Tamandua tetradactyla: one gene and its partner. Each later gene encodes a partner of the first gene's protein in a complex. Links are inferred from orthologs where the notes say so. Each region holds a gene or a part of one and is shown in the gene's direction. Other genes may lie near its edges.

The links. Proteins that work in one complex are often made in the same cells at the same time.
Region 2: the proteins of GRM5 (region 1) and HOMER1 are in contact, whole or in part, in a crystal structure (PDB 1DDV), measured with the Rattus norvegicus proteins. The link is inferred for Tamandua tetradactyla from reciprocal best matches to the Homo sapiens genes GRM5 and HOMER1. Residues at the interface, in XP_006229721.1 of Rattus norvegicus: Thr1155, Pro1156, Pro1157, Phe1160; in NP_113895.1 of Rattus norvegicus: His12, Phe14, Trp24, Thr70, Ser71, Gln72, Lys73, Phe74, Gly89, Phe90.

What each region holds. Positions count from the first base shown.
Region 1 is NC_135334.1:55,145,793-55,156,935, forward strand, and holds the start of GRM5 (metabotropic glutamate receptor 5), read left to right. Parts: upstream 1-5,743; coding exon 5,744-6,404; intron 6,405-11,143. UniProt on the Homo sapiens protein: G-protein coupled receptor for glutamate. Ligand binding causes a conformation change that triggers signaling via guanine nucleotide-binding proteins (G proteins) and modulates the activity of down-stream effectors.
Region 2 is NC_135347.1:52,072,018-52,082,854, forward strand, and holds the start of HOMER1 (homer protein homolog 1), read left to right. Parts: upstream 1-5,462; 5' UTR 5,463-5,479; intron 5,480-7,285; exon of another isoform or gene 7,286-7,953; 5' UTR 7,954-8,439; coding exon 8,440-8,444; intron 8,445-10,837. UniProt on the Homo sapiens protein: Postsynaptic density scaffolding protein. Binds and cross-links cytoplasmic regions of GRM1, GRM5, ITPR1, DNM3, RYR1, RYR2, SHANK1 and SHANK3.

The sequences.
Region 1 (11,143 bases):
CCCTACCACTTCCTAGTACCTATACTGCCATCTCCCACCAGAATTAGGGCAGTTCATCCCTAACTGTTCTCAATGGTTCTATCTTTGTGTCCTTTTCTTAATATGTGGGTCAGATTTTGTCCCTACTCTTTTGAAAACCATTCAGGGTTAAGTATCTCATGCAATGTTAAAGCCAAAGTCTTTTCAAAGTTCAAACAGAGTGAATACAACCTTGCTCCAGGCCTCAACTCTTCTGCCTTGGAGACTTTATATTTGCTTTTACCTTTACCTAGAGTGTTCTTTTTGTAGATATTTTCTTGACTCGTTCCCTTACTTTCTTCAGGTATTTACTCAATTGTTATATTTCCTGTTTATCCTTCTTTGACCACGTTGTTCAAAAGTTGTCATATCTCTGACACTTTCTTTCAACCTCCCTGCCTTATATTTTTCTTTAGCCCTTATCATTGTCTAGCATACAATACTTTACCTACTTATTCTGTCTGTTGTCTGACTAGCCCCTCTTTGATTATATATTCCATAAGTGCATGGTTTTATGTCTATTTTGTCCATGACTGAATTTTTAGGCTTGTAGAGTGCTTGGTGTAGAATGCTTCATTTGATAAGCATTTATTAAACAGATGGATGATGTTGATAGAGCTTATATACCCCTTTATGATCTAGTTGGAATTTATGTTCTGTTAATTTGTCATATTTTGGGAGTACATGAGTTGGTTTTTGTTTAATCATATGAAAAACTAAATTGAAGCACAATTATGGCACATTTCTATGTCATGATTTAAAGGGTCCTTTTCAGGCATCTAAGCACTGTAGCTCATGATAGCCATTGTGCAATCAACTTTTATAGTGGATAACAGAGAAATGTAAATATATTTGTACTGGATAATAATACACACTTGCATTTTTTGCATGCTGAATTATCTTTTCTTTTCCTGGAATGCTCTTCACCCCCTAGTTTGCAAGGCAAACTCTTGTAAGAGTCCATTCTGATGTTTCACAGCCCCTTCCATTTTTATGGACTTTGGGCATACCACATCTGCAGGAATGAGTGATGAGGGGGCATGTAATGGAATCAATAGACATCAACCTGAAATATAGCTCATCATTTTCTAAGTGGTCGGCTAGTTTATCAAAACCTGTTATACCATCTGTAAAACAGAGGTAATAAAATACCTACCTGTCAGGATTGTTATAAGGATTATCGACACACAGATCACACACTTATATGCAAACACACAAAGAATTATACAGACACGGCAATTGAATCACACATTTTCAGGGTACAAAAAACAGACTATAATGCCCTCCAGGGTAACTTGATGTATTCTCTGCAAAGTGAAATCTCTGTGTATGTATGTGAATATAAAGTGTCCAGAACATTCTCTTTTGGCTTCCCTCACATTTTGCTCTTGCTTTTTGTCCTGAATTTCTGGGTCGCCTCAGCCCCTAGCTGCCTTACCTACAACTTGATCACTCAGTGGGGCTTACTGCTCAGCTCCACATTTTTTCAAGGTATACTTGCTCCCCAGGTGATTGCATTCATCCAAAGATTTTACATATTGTTGACTCTCTGTTTACCTCTCTAAACCAAAATTCTCTTCTAATCTCCGGCCTTATGTACTTGTGTTCCTGCTTGTTACCTGTACCTGGGTGCCTCAAAAGCATCTGACATTTAACATGTTTAAAAGAAACTCATCCATTTTTCTTTTATCCCATCTATTTCTGTACCTATGTTAATGGTAGCAAAATGCACTAATTACTCAGATTAAAAACCTGGGAGTAGATCCTGATTCCTCTTTACTTTATGATCCATATTCAAGTTGTCAGCAAGGCCAGTTGATTCTACTGGCAAATTAGATATGATTGTGTCCATTTCTCTCCATATCCATCACTTCCATCACAGCCAAGCCAGTATCATTACTAACCTAGATTATTACAATAGTCTCCCAATCAGATTTCTTTAATCCATTTATCCAGAATAAAGAGCAGTCAGAATTATCTTTTCTAATTCTATATTCAATTGTGTCAACCATTTCCTTACCTGTCCTCAATGGATTTCATTTGCACTTTAACATCTAAATTCTTTTTGAGCCTACAAGATTCTATATAGCTTGGCCCTTTCTTACCTCTCCAATCTCATCTTGGACCACCATTCCTTTTGTTATTGTGCTCTAATAGCCTCATTTTTCAGGTGACTGGCTTCTTTTCATACTTCCCATTATTTTCAGTCTTCTTTTCATTGTTCTTTGCATTCATCAATTCTCACTAACATCACCTTTTAGAGTAGCTTTATTTTATCCATTCTTTCTAAGTTGGTATCATAATACTATTCTTTTTCAGTTAATTCATTCCAGTTCAAGGAGTGTAATCATTTGCTTATTTTATTATTATTTCTCTTCCCCCTCCTAATCTGTAAGACCTGCAAGGATAGGGAGCACACACACCCTGTTCGCAGTTGAATCCTCAATTTGACAAGAAGTTTGTTATAGCATAGGTATGCCATAAACATCCATTGAGAAAATGAATAAATGCCTGGTGTAAAATGGGTGTTCAGTGACAGATAATGACCAGAATTAACAATTGTTATCAAATAACAATATTATTGTGCTTCTTTGTTACATTAGTCTCTCTCACTCAAATAGATATTTGCATATGAATTAATTAATTAACTTTTAGTCTATTATAGTAAGACAATCTCTGCTTATTTTAATGTGCATACTGTGTCTCAATATTGTACATCTCATATCACTTTGGTGCTCTTACATAATAAAAATGAGCTCTGTTTTTCACTGAGTTTGCTCACTATATTCTGAATTTAATGAGGAATTATGATTCCTTTTATTTCAGACCTTTCAAATTCACATGACCATGAGAATAAGCATTGATCACCAGTCTTTGGTTTACGGAAAGTGAAAGCCAGGCCTGAGAACATTCAGAAAATTTCCCAATGAGAACATTAATATCAGTCTTTGTTCCCTTCCCTTTTGCCATATAGGAATATTTTAAATTATCAAAATTCTAGTTATTTGGGAATATCCAGTTATTTGAATGGGTTTTTTTAAATTTATTTTTTTAGAGGAGTTATAGTTAAAAAAAAAAAGATATGCAGGAAATACAGAGTTCTTGTAGATGCCCTCTTTCCAACATGCAAAATTTCCTATTATTAATACTCTGCATTAGTGTGGTATGCTTGTAGCAATTGATGAAAAATATTATTATAATTATACTGTTAACTGTAGTTCATAGTTTACATGAGAGTTCATGGTCTATGTTGTGTAATCCTATGGGCTGCTTTGTAAATTTTTTATTCTAGTAGCATATATACAAACTAAAATTTCCCCTTTTAAATACATTCAAATGTAGAATTCAGTGCTACTAATTACATTTGAATATTGTGCTATCATCACCACCAAAACTTAGCCATGAAGTCGAACAGAAGCTCTGCTCCAATTAAGCATTAAGTCCCCATTTCCTGTCCCACCCTGGCCCCTGCTAATTTGTACTCTAATTATTTCATATCAGTGATCTCATACAGTAGTTGTCCTTTTGTGTCTGGCCTACTTCACTCCACATTATATCCTCAAGGTTCATCTATGTCGTTGCATGTATCAGAACTTCCTTCCTTTCTTAAGGCAAAACACTAGAATGAATGAGCTTTATAAATTTTAGTGTTTGGTACTATACAGGAATAGTCTTCTCTGTTGCCATAGGAAACAGTAGGAAGAAAGAGTGAAAGTGGGGTTAGGAGTGATTAGAAATGGGATTCAGGCTATACTCATTTTGTATCTGAACTGAATTTTTGCAGACCTAAAACCTGATGAGTTTTGAAAAACATTAATATTTTTTAAGAGGCGTCATAATTTTTACATAAGTTCCTGAAGAAATATCACCTGTTTTTTGAGAGATGGTGTATTGGGAATTAGTCACTTGAAAACAATTTGAGTCTCTGCTGGTGGAAATAATAACATCCGAAAAAAAAGTATATTATACAATCTTTTAAAACCAAAATCATTATGCTAGAATTTTCTATAACCGATTTGGGACAAAATCACCTTTTTTCCCCCAGGATTTAAACAGAAACAGGTGACTGTATTGCTAGCTGTACCAAGTTTCTACTTGAAGAGATAGCTTCAAACTACATCCTTCCAGCTTTTTGAGCCTTCTCAATGTGGAATTTTTTTCTGAATCAGGGCTAGAGAACTGATTACTATAAATTTTATTACAAAACTTTGTAATTATTTTGAAGACTCTCTGGAGGACCTAGTGGATTGCCAGAGAATTTTGTGTCCTCACCACCAAGCCACAAAATGCCCTTGAAAATTTAATAACAAAAAAGATCATGTCTTGAATACATATATCACTATTTAATTTACAAAGCATTTACATAATTGATATCTTATATTGATTCCCGTAAGGGAGACCTAGCACATGTTATTCCCACTTTGAAATGAGGAAACTCAGATACTGAGAGGTTAAACAATTTACCAATATCTCTTCAATACCAGAACTTGAGCCTGAGTGTTCTTTTCTACAAAAATTCATGCTCATTTCATTATGCTTTGTGGCCTATTAGGAGAGCATTTTTCTTTGCAATATCTCAAACCTCCTCCTTCTTCCCTACAGTTTATTTAATTTGGAAATATCCAACTGCACTCACTTTCTTTTATATAAAAAATACAAAAATGCTTATTCCTTCCTGGATACATTTTTCAATCTGCTTTACATTGTGTTCATGGAGGGAGTACTTAAGCTTTTAAAATTGGTAACTTTAGTTTTTAATTGCATAAGTAATATTTTCTCAATACTGAGAACTTTGAAATAAAACCTATATTGAAATTTAAAGCAAACCAAAACTATCATAACCCAGAGCCCTCCAAGGTTTAATGTTTTGGAACATATATTCCCTAAAATTTTCTGATCATGACATAACTTTGCTTCAAGAATACTCTCACTTCTGCCTAATACTCAAGTTTTACCTGCTACACAGAAGTTTTGGTTCTGGGTACTCTGTATGAACAAATAAAAATATTAATCCAAGCCAGGCAGGGTCAAGAAGCCATGCCATAACAGCACTAAAAAATATATATGCGCATGATTAGAAGGGGAAATGTTAGAATGTATATACGATAACTGAATTCTTTTAAAAATCTGTGAAACTACAGTATACAAACAGTGAACCCTAATTTAAACTATGGACTTTAATTAATAATACAGTTGTAAAAATGTGTTATCATCAGTTGTAACAAATATTCCACAGCAATGCAAGGTGTTGGTGGTGAATTGGCATATGGAGTTCCTATGTTTTATGCATGATTGTTCTATAAACTCACAACTTCTCTAATAAAGGAAAAAGAAAGCTACCTTAGCTGCTTCATCAAATCACAAAGGAGACAAGGGAGAGTCAGAAAGATTTTTTGATGCTTTTTTTCTTTTAGGTTAGCTACTTCATCAAAGTCCTCTTTTTCTCCACTAGCACATGCAATTAAAGCTTACCTAAACTAATTGCACTTTTGTTATTAAAAACCTATGCTATTTTTCTCTTTCAGGTTTTGAAGATCATGATCACATGGATGCATCTAACTAAATTGTACTTGGGGACATTGTAGTCCTTTAGAGAGCACATCTAAATTTCTGGCTAATTCCCTGGCTTGCCACTCAACATAAGACATTGTTTGATTTTATCCATCAGAACTCTCCTAATTTTGCTCACCATGCTGTCTTTATTAGCTTGAACCCCTTTCCTAAAATGGTCCTTCTGTTGATTCTGACAGTCCTGCTTTTGAAAGAAGATGTCCGTGGGAGTGCACAGTCCAGTGAAAGGAGGGTGGTGGCCCACATGCCAGGAGACATCATTATTGGAGCTCTCTTTTCTGTCCACCATCAGCCCACTGTGGACAAAGTTCATGAGAGGAAGTGTGGGGCAGTCCGTGAACAGTATGGCATTCAGAGAGTGGAGGCCATGCTGCATACCCTGGAGAGGATCAACTCAGACCCCACGCTCTTGCCCAACATCACGTTGGGCTGTGAGATAAGGGATTCCTGCTGGCATTCAGCTGTAGCCCTAGAGCAGAGCATTGAGTTCATAAGAGACTCCCTCATTTCTTCAGAAGAGGAAGAGGGCTTGGTGCGCTGTGTTGATGGCTCTTCCTCTTCCTTCCGTTCCAAGAAGCCCATTGTGGGGGTCATTGGACCTGGCTCCAGTTCTGTGGCCATTCAGGTCCAGAATTTGCTCCAACTTTTCAACATACCTCAGATTGCTTACTCAGCAACAAGCATGGATCTAAGTGATAAGACATTGTTCAAGTACTTCATGAGGGTTGTGCCTTCAGATGCCCAACAAGCACGGGCCATGGTGGACATAGTGAAGAGATACAATTGGACCTATGTTTCAGCTGTGCACACTGAAGGTAAGTTTCCTTTGCATTTATTTTCTTAATTATGGACTCAAAAGATTACCAGTTAAAATTTCATATTTTATAAGACTAAAACATCCTTGTTATTTTGTATTCTTTGAGTTGCCCCCATTTTATCAGTTCTATTACTGAGAAGGGTCTGGATGCCAGCTGTCTAGAAAGACAGATTGGGGCCAATATGAGGGTTAGTGTGACCATGATTTAGTAAAAATGGAGAAACTTTTTGGAATGCATGTTACATTATTTGTACATTTGCTATAATGGTGCCTTTTGCTATTTATTACTAGAGGTTTTTCAGTTTTCTACTTCTTCATTAAACATCTAATGTTTTTACCACTTTAAAATTACTCCAACTGCAGCTAGTTCTAGACCAAGTAACCTGTTACAGAAAATTATCCGTTTACTTACAACAATTTTTCAATTTGGAATATTAAATATTAAATATTAAATATATATATAATCACTACATTTTTTTATTGTCTTCCTTGGCAGAAGATTTGGAAGGCAGGTATAGCTCTTAGACTGAGATTCATTCTGAATAATAAATGTGCTGAATAAAGTATATATTTCATCTGGTAAGAATGTGATGCTATTCTTACAGTCATTCTGCAATGAGTATATGCAGGTTCAATTTTTAAAAGCTTGATTGTTTTACAAATGGGGATAAGTATGAATTAATTTTATTGTTGTGTAGAACATGTTTGTGAAGTATAACTTTAATAATTAAACATAAGTTTGCTTTTAAATTCATTTCTTCTTTATGTTGAATGCATTTTGAAGAGGGAAAAGATGAATACGGTGTTATAATCGTTATTAATACCAGTCCTTTGTATTTTTACAATGCTTTTAAAATGCTTTTGTTTGCAGAGTTTGTTAGCTCTTTACCAAGGTTGCAAGTGACAGGTTTTGTTGCCTAATTTTAATAAAAGAGGTTCGTTTGACTTAGAGAAGTTAGATGAACCAAACAGTAAGTCTTTCTCACTACCCAGCACTCTTTTTAGGACAACAAACTGCATATACTAAGCATTATAGAATACAGAATCTTAAAAACATTTTTTATCTCTCATGAATTATTGTGAGGAAAGAATTAAAGAAAATTCTGCCATAACAAAATCAATATGGTTGAAAGAATACAATTTGTAAAATGTGAGGTTGATTTTTTTAGAAAATTAGTAAATGACCATAGTGAGACTGCTTCAGAGGTTGGGAGCCAATCAAGCAAACAGATAAAGCAAAATTTTCATTATAGAGTGACATGATATCATGAGTTTCCTTATACGTTCACTCTTGTTGATTATATTCAGAGCTTTATAACTATAAAATGGGCCTCTACATTGGCTGGAGACTTCTTTATTTTTGAGCATATTCCTGTATAAGTGGCTTCTTTACTTAGAGGGATGTTTATCTATAAACATTTTGGGCATGGATAGGTGGTTGAACTTGGGCACTTTGAGTTCTTTGCTAATGCTAAGATTTTTTTTTATGAAAAAGCCATTATTTCACCTGATGGTTGCAATAAGCCAGTTATAGTGCATATACTTTATCTATTTTTAAATGTAAAGAATTTAGGAATTTAAATAATTCATCCAAATTGCAATTTCAAAGCCAAAAGTAGAACTCATGCTATTGGCTTTTAATTCAGTGCACTGTTATAATTTAACAGAGTCCAGTAGAATCCCATCCTGAGGATATATTTATGCATTATATACTTAATAAGCATAAGTTTATGCAAGGCCCTCTGGTAGGTCCTATGAAATACAGCTGTATTCTTTATACTTAAACTTCCTTCAAGGAACTCGCAATCTGGTAAAGGACATGAGGCATGTGCTATTACTCACATAATCATAATTAAAGGTGAAAAAAGTTACAAATGCATTGAGGGAGGAATTAATCATCTCCTGCTATGTGTTTAAGGGAGTCATGGTGGAAAATTTCTAGAAGGAAATGGAATTTGACAGTCAAATCTATGCTTTTACTTCAAAATGGAGTCCAGCATAAGCATATTCATTCCAGTGATTTTAAATTCCAACTCATCCCACCAAATGAGACTCTATTGCTGTGTTTAAACTTCAAAATCAAAACAAAATGTTAATTATCACACATGAATATTCTTGAGATTTAAGAGTGAATCAAAACAGAATAAATGCTGAGGGCAAGAAGGAAAACTTTATAATTCTTTTTCTGTACCCTTGTGGATGGGTATTTGATAGTTTTCTTAAAGCTTGAATGTTTTAAATAGTCAGATACTTGCGTATATTCTGTCCTTAAATTACTGCCCTTGGTCTAATTTAATTTCATTATGGGAGCTAATTATTGGACACACAAAACAATGTATATTGCAGTCAAGGGGCGATTTAAATAATTTTTACACTTCGAAATTTTTGCTGAGTTTAGATGAAACGCTACATCTCCAGCGCCTATCTGGGTGCCTCATGCATAAAAGGTGCTCAAAGACTATTTGTTGAATGGGTAAATTCATATTAGAATAATACTTACCTCATAATTTATGAATGTATAAATATTCATAATATTGTAATTTTTCACAGTTTTGATTCTTTTTAAAAATGAGGTGCCAAAATGCCTTTCTTAATTAATTGTAAATTGGTGTTCACACCCCACTCCCTTTTTTGTTTGCACTGTGTCTTGAATTTCTTGCTTTCATCTAATGATATGGGAATGCTAATTTGTTCTAGAAGAAAAACATGTCACTGATGCTGAAGGGGAAAGAAATGTGTCATTAAATTTTACTGGTAAAGTAATATCATTAAAACTTTGACTTCAGGTTACCCTACATATTGCAATGTGGTACCAGCTTTGAGTTATGATATGTTTTTCCATAAATGATTTACTTAAAATGTGGGAGCTATCAAGCTTTGGGTGAAAGATTTTAATGTGATTCATGGTACATTTTGTCAGTTCAACTTCTAAAAAGTGGGAGCATAGTTTACTCGTCACACCTTTTCTATGACTTGCAATTATATCAGGACAACAATGTAAAAGTTAGTTTGGAAAGATAAGAAATATCAGCATAGGCTCTACTGAACACTTTTAAAGAGATTTCATTATATTTCCCTTGGGGTTGAAAGGTTTTGAGAGTTGAGGCAATCTGGGCAGTGATCATGTTAATAATTCAGATACCCAAACTACCGTTAGCTTTATAGAATGTAAGCACTGGAAGGGTCTTAGGCAAGCATTTAATATAATTCCTTTATTTGACACTTGGGGAAACAGACAGAAAGGTCAAGTAACTTGGCATTACTTTTCTCATAGTTAGTTACAAAGCTGGGTCTTGAAATTCAGCACTTCAATCTCTGCCTTCATTTGTCATATAAAAAGAGGAAAGGATGTTCTCAGAGATCTCCTCCAGGACTGGCCTCCTACAATTTGCTCTCCTCAAGCTTCCTCAGACCACACCTGGGCTAAATTAAATGTTGGGCATCACATATAAATACAACCAACAACGATCTTTGTAAAGGTGAATGTCCAGAATGGTTATGAAACTTGTAATCATGTCCTTGGGGTCTGATTCTAGCAGAGAGAAGAAAAGACATGGCAGGCACCTGAATGCTGACTTTAGGTATTTGAAAAGTCTTCAGGTGGAGAAGAGCTAGATTCAGTCTGTATGGGTATGGCCAAGAGCATTATAAGGAGAGCTAATGACTGAAATACCAGAGTAATGAATTATGGTTCAATTAATAAGTACATATACACACATATGCTTTTTTCCCATTAATATAATCAGGAAGGAATTGCTTCTCTCAAGACGTAGTGAGTTAGTTCTCTGTGACTCCTTGTACACAATCCTGGAATGGACAACCACTTGGAAGGGCTGTAGAAAAAAAAGATGTGGAGGAAGGAGGGAGTTGGAATATTTGTCCTTTTTGATAACTCCCCATACTAACATTACTCTCTGAGTTAAACCAGCACATATGTTGTGATATTTCATCGACTTGTTAGTTTAGTCATCTATTCCATAACACAGTCTGGCAAAGTAACCATACTACAGGTTAGAAAATAAATATGGAAAGAACAAGTGGTTTTCCCAAAATACTGCAGTTAGTAATGTCATAGTTAGGGCCTACTATTTGGAAATAAGTCTAAATTTCCTCCCTTTATACTGGAGTCATTGTGGTTTCAAGAAAAAGGGAGTGTACATCCCTTGGTTCCTTTTCCCCCCCTAGGAAACAAGCAATCAGTCTGTTTTCCTACTGAGAAAATCTTTTGAGCATATTTCATTTGTCTTTTTATCCAGCTTTAAAAGCAACACCTTTCCTTGTTCTCAGGGAAGGAATTAATTACAGTAAAAAGAAAATAAATTAAGGAGGAGATATGTGGCAACAAGTTGACCTCACAAAAGACCTTTTTGTGAGTCTGATGATGAGTACAGACTGTGCTTGGTTGTTTCTATTCATGTCTCCGGTGCAGACTCCACACCCAGTCCTTCTGATGCTAATTATAGGAGGAAGCAATATGGTATGCATTTTTTAAGAACAGGAAGACATATTGTTAAATTATGTACCTTAGGAATAAAAGAGTATTCTTTGGAATTTGTTAGGGCTAGGAATTGCAAAGCTTCATTTTGGCACATTTGTAAATACTACAAAAAGGCTTATTGATTTAATCAAATATTGAATTGAGGAGACATTTTGGCAAGATGTGTAAGAGTCAGATATGTCTATTTTTTGGGACTTTGAAAGGAGAAATCTCAGCTTAATAAAGCAATTTATGCGTGG
Region 2 (10,837 bases), on another chromosome or scaffold:
AGACAACCCAAACGTGTGCTTGTCCACATACACACACAGATAAAACATAACTCATTATTAAAATAACAGAATAGATATTGACTGAAGATATATTTACCATTTCCATTTTTATTTTTATAGAAATTACTATTTAGAACCAGACTGAAAGAAATGAAAAGCCTCATGAATAACTCTTGCAATCGTTTGGCTAAAAACCCCAAATGTTTTCTTTCTGACCACTTTTACTTGGAAGAACCTTTAATACCTTATACTTGGAAGACACTTTAATGTATTCTAGGTATTGCATCTACCTGTTTTAGCCATATCAGTCGTTACCAATTATGTTCAGCTACTGAGTTTACAATTACCATCTTAAACGGATCTCTGCCTTTGAAATAGCCCCACATTTCTGCTTCGAATCTTCTCTCTTTAAAGAGAAGTCAACTTTGCTTCATAAGCGTGGCTGCCCTAAATGCCTTGGTGTTGTTTTTCACCTAGCTGGCACCAAAAGAATCATAAAATAAGGTAGCTCATTTGAAACATTTTTCTTACGGTTGTCCTGTTCCTCCATTCAGGAAAAAGATTACTGGTTACCATGGCAATCAGCTTCACAGCATTCCATTCTAAGTAACTGCATAGGTACAGCACAAGCTTTACTCCACATTCTTGGACTGGTAGCTCTCTGCAGATATGCATCTTTTTCAAGGCACCATATCCCTGTCTCTTCTGAATGCCTTGAAATTTTGCATTTTTAGTTGTACAATGATCTCCTCATGGCACCTAACTAAAATTTTTCTGGTATGTTCTTTTACAAGTCCAGTGTCATACTTGTATCCCTTTCATCATATTCTGCAAACAACGAGTTTGCAGTCATTATCAGAGTAGAAGGTAACTGTTTGGAATCATTTCCCATGCGCTCTATGTCATATCTTTCCTGTGATAATTCTCTAACTTCCCTCTCCCTTGCACCTCCAACCACTCAGAAAATAGTGCACGCAGAGGAGTAAAAATTGTCCTCAAGCAATTGTCTCAGTGAGGCCAAACATATTCCCACTCTTGAGGCTATTAATTAACCTGCTTCTGTTTAAACAAGCAACACAACTCAATGATACCCAGTATCTGTTATATTGTGGGGGAGAGGGGATGACTGGAAAATTTTTATATAATGCTTTCATTCTTATTGCTTTTAGTTGGTTATTTAGTTTCTTTATAACTATATGATAGAAACTAGCAATCTTGAGCATTTTTTATTATAGAGAGATATCTTTTTACCTATTACTACATTTGAAGTGATAGTAGTATTTTGCCAATTAAAAAGATTTAGGGAGCTTGAAAGGGGGTTGATATTATCAGTTAGATAATTCAAAATAAAATTTGGCTTTTACTCTCTTGCGAAGTTTTTCTGACCTAGATCTCTTTTCATTGAAAAATATCTATCTCCTGACCAATCTATGAACACCCCATTGAAGACTGCCATTTCCTATTAAGGGGATGGAAGTAAACTCTGTAACTAAAACAGATGCCTTCGCCCACAGATTCTAAAATCAGAGGGTATTCATAAACCTCTCCACAAATTTCCAGAGCATAAGTGGGAAACAGGAACTGTTAAGAATTCGAAACTCTACTAATGTACTTTTTGCCTCTTCCGGTAAAAGAAAATAAATTACTTTCTAGGAAGTTCACTACTTTAAAAACACACAAAGAAATTAGGGTTGGAAATTCCTGATTGGAATTTGGGTTACATCAGCCTATTTTAGGAGAAAAGATATGTATTTTTAGATGGAAAACTATACAATGGTTCTCTGATTCCTGTCAAAATTGTATTGGAAATCATTTCAAGGGGGGAGAAGAAGAACTTACCCTAGGATTATTTATTTTCTTTCTGAGAAGACATTCCATATTACATAAAAAGTTTCATTTATTCCTTTGGGTACGTGGATATAAGCATTCCCTGATATATTCATCCCGCACAAGCTAGAAATAAAAATTAACCAATTATAGGTAGAATTTTCTAGAATTGAGCAAAGGCCAAAGTTAAATAATCACATATACTTTGGGTAATTATATCACAGAGCATCATTAGATTTATGTAGAAAAAGTTACTGTCAATTTTCAATTGACAAAAGAGCAGCTGAGAAGGAACCATGCAGCTTGAAAGAGTGGAAACTCTAATGAAGGGTCAGCGTTCTAAAGGCAGGGAGGCAGCCGACATTCTGTTTTGACAGCTAGGTAAAGATGAGGGAAAGAAAAGATTGTAAAACACAGGAAGCTGTGATGAAAGGGCAGAATGAAGTGTTTGAAAAACGGTAATGTGAGAACTTTTATTAACATGGAAGAAAAGAGCCGGAAAACAATTGAGTTCAGATAGAAAACAGTTTGTAGAGAAATTTTAGTTAATTTGTTTTTTAATTTGGAAGGGTCCAGAGATGACATTATTTGAAAAATGACAGTTTTATTGTTTTAATATTTTATACAGAAGTAGGAAGCTCCATTTGCCTGAAATATGTTATTACAAGTTTCTATTAATATGATAATAATATATATATTAGACAAATTGGCAAGAAGGGATTTGATTTTGATTAACCTTTAGTTATAACCTTTTAACATTTTTACTCACTAGCTTAAACATTTCAAACTCGAAGCAAATTCTGAAATCAATGCAGGATCATGATTTTATTATGTGAAGATGATCAGAAAGCCTGATTTAGTTGTAAATTGGTCCTAGATTTTTTTTTCTTTTTTTGCCAGTATCCTTTAATCTTGGGTTCTTAAGTTGAGGAAGAAAATTTAAATGCAGAAAGCTGCAAACTAATGTTCAGTAATTAGGAATCATATGAATAGTTAAATATTAAAACATTTTAAAAAGTCATACATGGTATGAATTCTATAAAGTTTTAGCTTCTTTTGTTTAAACTACATTGATATTGATTTGTAACTACCCTAATAATACTTTATAGGTTGGTAATCTTATGTCCTAGATGTTCCGGGTCACTTCAGATTTCAAATATTTTTATTATTTTAAATCATGTGTCCTGATTTGGTTTGGAAAACATGGTTGCTGAATTATAGACTAACTTTATATGTAATAGCTATTAGCAGTATGTAGTTACTCTATTTCTTGGCCATGATTATCGAGTTAACTTGAATGAAAATTTCAACATTAAAAAAAAATCTTCCTAATAAGAAGCTGTGTTAAAATAATGGAGGTATTTAAACACTATAGTTATTTACAGTTTAAAAAACATTCATTCAAAACAGTGTGGTACTGATATGAGGATTGACATAGAGAACAATGGAACAGAACTGGGATTCCATCTATGGCCAACTGACTTTTTTTTTTTTTTCAGTTAAATAATTTGTTAGATATGCTGCCTCACTTTTTAAAAGCATTTTTTTTATTGTGAAATATAACAAAAATACAAAAAAGCAACACATTTCAAAGTACATTTTAATAAGAAGTTATAGAACAGATTTCAAAGTTTGATATGGGCTGCAGTTCCACAATTTCAGGTTTTTCCTTTTGGCTGCTCCATGACACTGGAGACTAAAAAGAAATAGCAATATAATGATTCAGTAGTCATAATTATTTGTTAAATCTTAACTTCTCTGTTATATCTCCTCCTTCTCCTTTGATGCTTCTCCTAATCTTTAGGAATATTTGGGTTATGCCCATTCTAACTTTTTTCATGTTGAAAAGGGGTGTCAACAACATGAGATAGTGAGACGGAACTGGTTGATGTTCTTGGAGAGAATGGTACCTCTGGCTTTCAGGAGTTATCTGGCCTAGGAACCATCTGGAGGTTTTAGATTTCTGAAAAGTAAACTTAGCAAATACAACTTTTGTAGGATCTCAAGTAGAGCCCTGGCTGATTTTTAGGGCTAAAAGGAATGATGTTGGTTGGGGTTTTGACCAGTTGATTTCTTAACAAGGGTGCGAAGTCTTCTCAATAGGGAAAGAATGGACTCTTAAAAATGGTGCTTGTGAAACTGGATTTCTGCATGCAAAAGAATGAAACTGGACCCCTACCTCACACCATATAAAAAAATTAACTCAAAATGGAATAACAACCCAAATAGAAGTGCTAAAACCATAAAATTTTTAGAAGAAAACACAGAAGGAATTCTCAATGACCTTGGATTTGGCAACAGATTCTTAGATATGACACCAAAAACACAAGCAATAAAGAACAAACAGATAAATTGGACTTCATCAAAATCGAAAACTTTTGTGCATCAAAAGACATTAGCAAGAAAATGAGAAGATAATGGGAGAAAATAGTTGCAAATCATATATCTGACAAGGGTTTTATATCCAGAATACATAAAATACTCCTACAACTCAACAACAGAAACACAAACAACCCAATTTTAAAAATGGGCAAAGGACCTGAATAGACATTTCTCCAAAGAAGACATACAAATGGCTGTGAAGATACTCATCATTAGTCACTAAGGAAAGCAAATAAAAACCACAATGAGGCTTTCAGCCTCTAACTTGGAGGAGGCCAAGGTGCAACTTTGGTTGGCATCCAGGTTCATCTAACAGGCTACCTCCATTTTGCCACCCAAGTTCAAGCCACAATGAGATCAAAGTTGTTGACTTCAGGCGCATTGGTAGGGAGGTCAGCGCCATGTCTGCTCTGGCCCCAAAGATCAACCCTTTGTTTCTGTCTTCAAAAAAGGTTGGTGATAGTTCTAAGAAGTACAGTGAAACTGACCACTTGGAAAAGAATGGCTCAGATTGAGCTGGTATCTTCTGCTTCTGCCCTGATCATCAAACCTCAAGGAACCATTCAGTATTAGAAAGAAGCAAAAAACTCTAAGCACAGTGGAAATACCACTTCTAATAAGATTGTAAGCCTTGCCCAACAGATGCAGCACCAATCTTTAGCCAGAGAACTCTCTGGACCATTAAAGAGATTCTGGGAACTGTCCATTCTGTGGGCTGCAGTGTCCATGTCCACTATCTCATGACATCATAGATGACATCAACAGTGGTGCAGTGGAATGTGGAGCCAGAAAGAACTACAATGAAAAATATTTTAATAAGAGATAATTTGACAGCCAAAATACAAACAAACAAAAAAACCATAATGAGATACTCCCCACACTCACTAGGATGACTACTATTTTTTTCAAATGTGTATTGCTAGCGGGAATGTAAAACAGTGCAGCCATTGTGGAAAACAATTTGATGGTTCCTCAAAAAGTTAAACCTAGAATTACCATATTACTTGGTAGTTCCGCTTTCAGGTATATACCCAAAAGGGGTGAAGACAGGGACTCAAATAGATCCTTGTATGCCAACCTTCATAGCAATATTATTCAAAATAGCCAAAAATGGGAAACAATGCACATTTCCATCATCAGATGAATGGATAAACAACATGTGGTCACATACTATGGAATATTATTCAGTCATAAAAGGAATGAAGCACTGATATATGCTACATGGAAGAACCTAGAAAACATTAAGCTAAGTGAGCAGACAGACACAAAGGTAAATATTGTATGATTCCACTTATACTAAATATCTGAATAAGGAAAGTTGCAGAAGCAGATTAGAGGTGGGGGAGAAGAGTGGCAGGGGAGGGAGATATGGGGTGTTATTTCTTAATGGGTACAGAGATTTTGTTTGGGGTGATGAAAAAGTTGTGGCAATGGATAGTGGTGATGGCTGCACAACACTGTGAGTGGAGTTAATGTCACTAAACCGTACACTTAAAATAATAAATTTTATGTTATATATATATTCATATGCATACACATATATATATAACCACAATAAATATTTTGATAAGTTATGGACCAAACACACATACAGCTTGTGAGTAGATGGTTACTCACCTTTGTCATATAGGAATGTGAAACAACATATTTTAGAGATGTTGTAATTATATATTATATGGTCAAAACTATAGATAACAAAATAATCAATGTGCTCTTATTAAAAAAGGATTTGGTTGTCTTTCTTATAACTTCCCAAAACCAGAAATATGCTCTTGGTAAAGTGGAACCTAGAGGGTACACTGGAACTTGCTATGTATATGATGAAAATTATGTGAATGAGCTCTCTTACTGATGAATTACTATAATGATGAATTACTATCATTTATAACATTTTAAGAATTGTTTATGGTCCAGCTCTTGATTCTTTCGTGTTTAGGTAACCACTAAGTGGGGAGGGAGTAGAGTCTACTATGTCCCGATGTGCATTTAATAAATCTTTAAATATTAAGGTGATTTACCCAAATCATGGAAGTGTATACACCACTAGTGATCAGGCTCTCCCTCCCACATTTCCCTACGGGTTGGGACGTGTGAAGCCGGGGGATGCTGCGGCAACAGGGTGGTGGGAGTGTAAAATAGGATATCACCCACTTGACACTTCAGCACTGTTGCTATGAATGATTCACTTGGGTTTGGCACATTCATTGCAAGAAAATCTCCTCCTCCCGCCGCTTCCTTCTCCGAGCTTCTCTCAAGTTGTCTCCGGTGCTCTGGCCTTTATGGAGCAGCCAGAGCAGGTGGGCACAGAGGAGTTCACCAAGTCCTCCTCCCCTGCTCCTTCCCTAATTTAGCAGTACTTCCGGCCGCGTGACATCATCCCCCGCACCCCGGTGACGAGAGCGGCGGGTGACGCGCGTGCGGAGCGAAGCGCGCTGACGTTGCTATTTAAAGGGCCTCCTGCGGGAGGATGGAGACACAGCGCGAGCACCTGGTGTGGGCAGCGGAGGTGCCCGTGGCAGCCGGTAGTGGGGCCAGGAGCGAGCCGAGGAGCAGAGCGCGTGGCCTGCCCGCCGCCGGCCACTAGGGAAGGGGAAAGGAAGGCAGGAAGGACAGACTGACGGACGGAATTGCCAACCGGCCTGTCTAGCTTCCCATAAAGGCCGCCTCGGCCCCTGGCCACCAGGCTCCCGCTCTCCGCTGGGCCCCAGCGGGCCCTCGCGACGGGTTAGCGTCCCGCCGCAGTTCCTCGGCGGCCGTCTCCCGGCTCGTCCCGAGCGCAGGGGGAGGGCCCGCTCTCGTCCGCTCTCTCCCCGCCCCTTCTCCGCCCCCAGCAGCCTGCCTCGCCGCCGCGCCCGCCTCACGCCGGCGGCGCAGACCTGGGAAGCGGCGCTCTTCGCCCAAAGAGCCGGCCGAGGAGGCGGAGGCAGCGGCGGGTCTGGGGCCGCCCGGACGGGCGCTGCTCTGCGGAGCGGGAGCTGGAGGCCGGCGGAGACGGGCGCTGATGGAAGCGTGAGGAGGCGGCGGCGGGGCCCGGGGAACGTGAGGCGGCGCGCGGCGGCGGCACGGAGCCCGAGCGGCGAGGCTGTGAGGTGCGGGCGCCCGAGCGGCAGCTCTCCGGAGGCTGCGAGCTTCAGTCCCTCTCTTCGACGCGAGCTTAGCTGCCCGCCACAGCTCAGGCGGGCGCCCGCCTCCCCTCAGCCCTTCCGCCATCGCGCTCGGTTCTCCCGGAGCCGGGGGCCGGGGGCCGGAGGAAGCGTGGGGCTCGGCTTTCCGATTCATTCATTCTCTGTCGACGCGAGCCGCAGACGCGCTGGGAGCCGAAGAGAGCAGGGAAGAGGGGGCAGCCGCGAATGAAGGGCCAGGCTCGAGCCGGGCTCCATTGTGCTTGGCGGCGGGGGGCGGGAAGGGGCTGAGGGAGGTGGGGTCACCCCCTCCCGCTGCTCCCCGGCGTGCGCTCTCCCCCAGCCTGCTGCCAGCCTGGAAATGGCTCCGTTTATTCTCCTCGGGAGAGTGAATCGATCCTGCCCGGTCTTTTCTTCCTCCTCTCCGCCTCCTTTCTGCTCCTAGTCTTAGGAAGGGAAAAATTTTAGAAGGACAGATTCCCATGTGGAGTGTTGTGCACGTCGCGAGCTGCCGGCTTTTGCACTTCGGGGAAGAGATTTTTGTATGTGTTTTTTTTTCTTTCTAATGCCAGCGCAGAGAGGCGATGGCATTGCGCTTTTAGAATTTTTATTTTTCCCGTAGGGATCTTTAAAGTGCACGTCGCGTTGGGTTTCACGCTCCACCCCCAGGGACCTGGTGTGGAGAAATTGGACCCGGCGGCCTCAGTAGCACCGAAGAGGCCGGGTTACCTGGCTCTCCCTGAGTGTCGAGGAGGGCACGAGCGAAATGACCAGCGAACTCAGGTTTAACTGGACTCGGTGAAGCTGGATTCCGCGTTTGCCTACGTATAAGCTCGTTCTGTGGAATAGAGTTGCCCGCTCTTTCCTCCGCGAAGCCTTTTAACTCGCATAAGCAAATGCCACCTCAGTGTGTTTGAACGTTTTGGTATTTACGAGAGAGAGAGCATCTTATCTAAGGGGACGGATTGAGTCGTCAGCCTCACGAAAGACCCCGGAAAAAGGATCTCGGGGGTGCAAAACAGCTGCGAAATAGCCGGCCGAGAAATTCCTTTGGAAGTTATTCCGTAGCCAAGAGCAGAAACTTCAGAGCAAGTTTTCATTTGGCAAAATGGGGTAAGGATTTTTGTGCTTCACACAACTTCGAATGTGTTTGTGCGTGTGTGTTAGTGAGGGTTGGTGCTGATTGTGTTTTGTGGTGGTCATGCACATTTGCCACCTGCCTTGCTAAGTTGGTTATATGTGTATATATATATTTAAATACAGGTGTTTAACCTTTTAACAGATTATTTTGTGTTCTTTTAGAGTGACACCGGGAGGTCATAGTTAAGGAGCGGTATGTATGTCCTTAGTAGCCTCAATATATTTTTTATCAGTAATGTTTAAGAAAACAGGGCATTCTGCTTGTTGCTGGTCAAACAGCTGCATCAGTTCGTAGTCAAAATTATGTTGGAGTTTTTTTTTTTTTTTTTTTTTTTTTTTTTTTTTTTGCCATTTGTCTTTCAAAAGCAAGTACTGCATTCTCGCAGTACTTTGGGAATTAGTCAGTTGCACAAAGGGAACAATCATAATCCAAAGTAATGAGTGGTTAAACTACAACACTTGAAATGATCCAGAGTAAATTGTTGCCCTCATTGTGCCCTCTGTTTTGCCCTTGGATAATCCAAAGCTAAGGTGTATGTAATTGATTTATTAGGACTATTACAGTGAAAATCTGTCTTCTTAATGCAATCTCAAGAGTGCCAGTACTCTCAGGAGATGAAAGCTTGAAAAGGAAAAAGCTTTCTGTTGAAGGAACTTGATCATTTTTCTGTTTTTTTTTTTTTTTTTTTTGCTTTTAAGCTTAGGTCAGCTTAGGTCTTCTGTTAGTGTTACTCTTAGATGGACACCTTCCTTCAGACCCAAAGCCTACCACTACCTACACTTTATTAAGTCTATTCATTCACATAGTACCTGATAAAATGTTGGTGACTTCTTATTTTAAGCCAGAAACGCATAATATTTTTTCTTTTGTTTTTTCTTTCCATAATGTTTTAATATAAGTAATGACCTACTCATTTCATTGACAGATTGTGGATGCTTTCCGTTAAAGAGGAACTTCCAGAATTTTCTGTTTTATGGTTGAACAAACACATGTAAACTGTAGTTGAGGGACGAATTTTGAAACGACAGACTCTGAAATTTCATAGTGACAGTTTAGAGGTATACACTCCCTGCTTGAAACTTGCTGAGAAAAGCTCTTGGTTAGTACTACCTTTTTCTGTTGAAATTGGAATTTGTTTATTTTAACAAGTTTGAAATTTCAGAACGCATGTTGTAGGAGCCCTTCCTCAGGAATTAATTTCCTCAGTGACAGTTGTTTTTTAAAACTTAAACGTCAAGTGATGAGAACATATGTAACTCGCGTGATTTGGTGTACTGCTGTGAGCAATTAAAATACCTCCTTCTGTTTCTAGTGTTGCTATTAGTAGCTTAGTGATCTGAGGCAAATTTCTTAACCTCTACCTGGACTCTGTTTTCTTAACTGTAAAATGAAGAACCTAGATAGGTTTTAGAGATTTTTCCAACTTGTAACAATTATCGTTTTTCTCCTCCTTTCTGTTTTAGTGATGACTAATTTCTTGAAATAGACTTTTCAGATGGAGAGATTTATTTTCTTTGAGCAGTTTTTTTGAGCACTTTTGCAAGTTGGAAAATAATGGTATTTGAAAAATATTTCAGATGAATTGCACTGATTTTAAATAAGAAATTCCAAAAAGCACTACTGTTCAAAACCTTTGAACATGGCTTCTCTGGAGAATCTGCAGCTCTTCTGTTTAGAATGTTTTGGAGGAAAAAATTCAAGTGGCAGTTTTTCGTGTTGAAGACTGCATTCTCTCTAGATTGTGGCACCATGGTACAACATTAGTTTAACAGACTTTTAGCATGAATGCCCATCATTTCACCAAGGAAGTCTGGGTTGAGGTTAAATACTAAAAGGACTAGTATTTAAAATATAAAACAAGCCCTCCCCCTCTCCCCCGCCACAACACATTTAGACTTTTCAGTGTAATTAAATTTATGTATAAACTAATTTGTTTAGTTTTCTGTTAATAAGACCTTAAAAGTGGACTGAAGAGGGAAAGGAGTATTTATAGTGTTATATTCCTGAAAGTCCATATTGGCCTTCTCATTGATAGTGACTTAGTCTCTGGGAGTTGTGGAGAGAAGGATAGGTGGACATAGAAAAGAAGAGCATAAAAAGAAGGCATTTGTGCACGTTTCTATTATCTGTAGGTTTTTATACCTGTTAAATTGTTTGTGTAATAAACATAGCCACCTGGATCTACTTAAAACAAAAGAAAATTGAGCTTTAAATAACCTTTAAAGTTTTATCCAGGCAATCCTAAATTACCTTCTTCTGAAAGGTATCTAAAAGTTTAATATCATGGGTGAAGAATCTCATGAATACATTTTTTGACAAAGGTTATAGTCAGACTTTGATTTTTGCCTTAATTTATATTGATTGC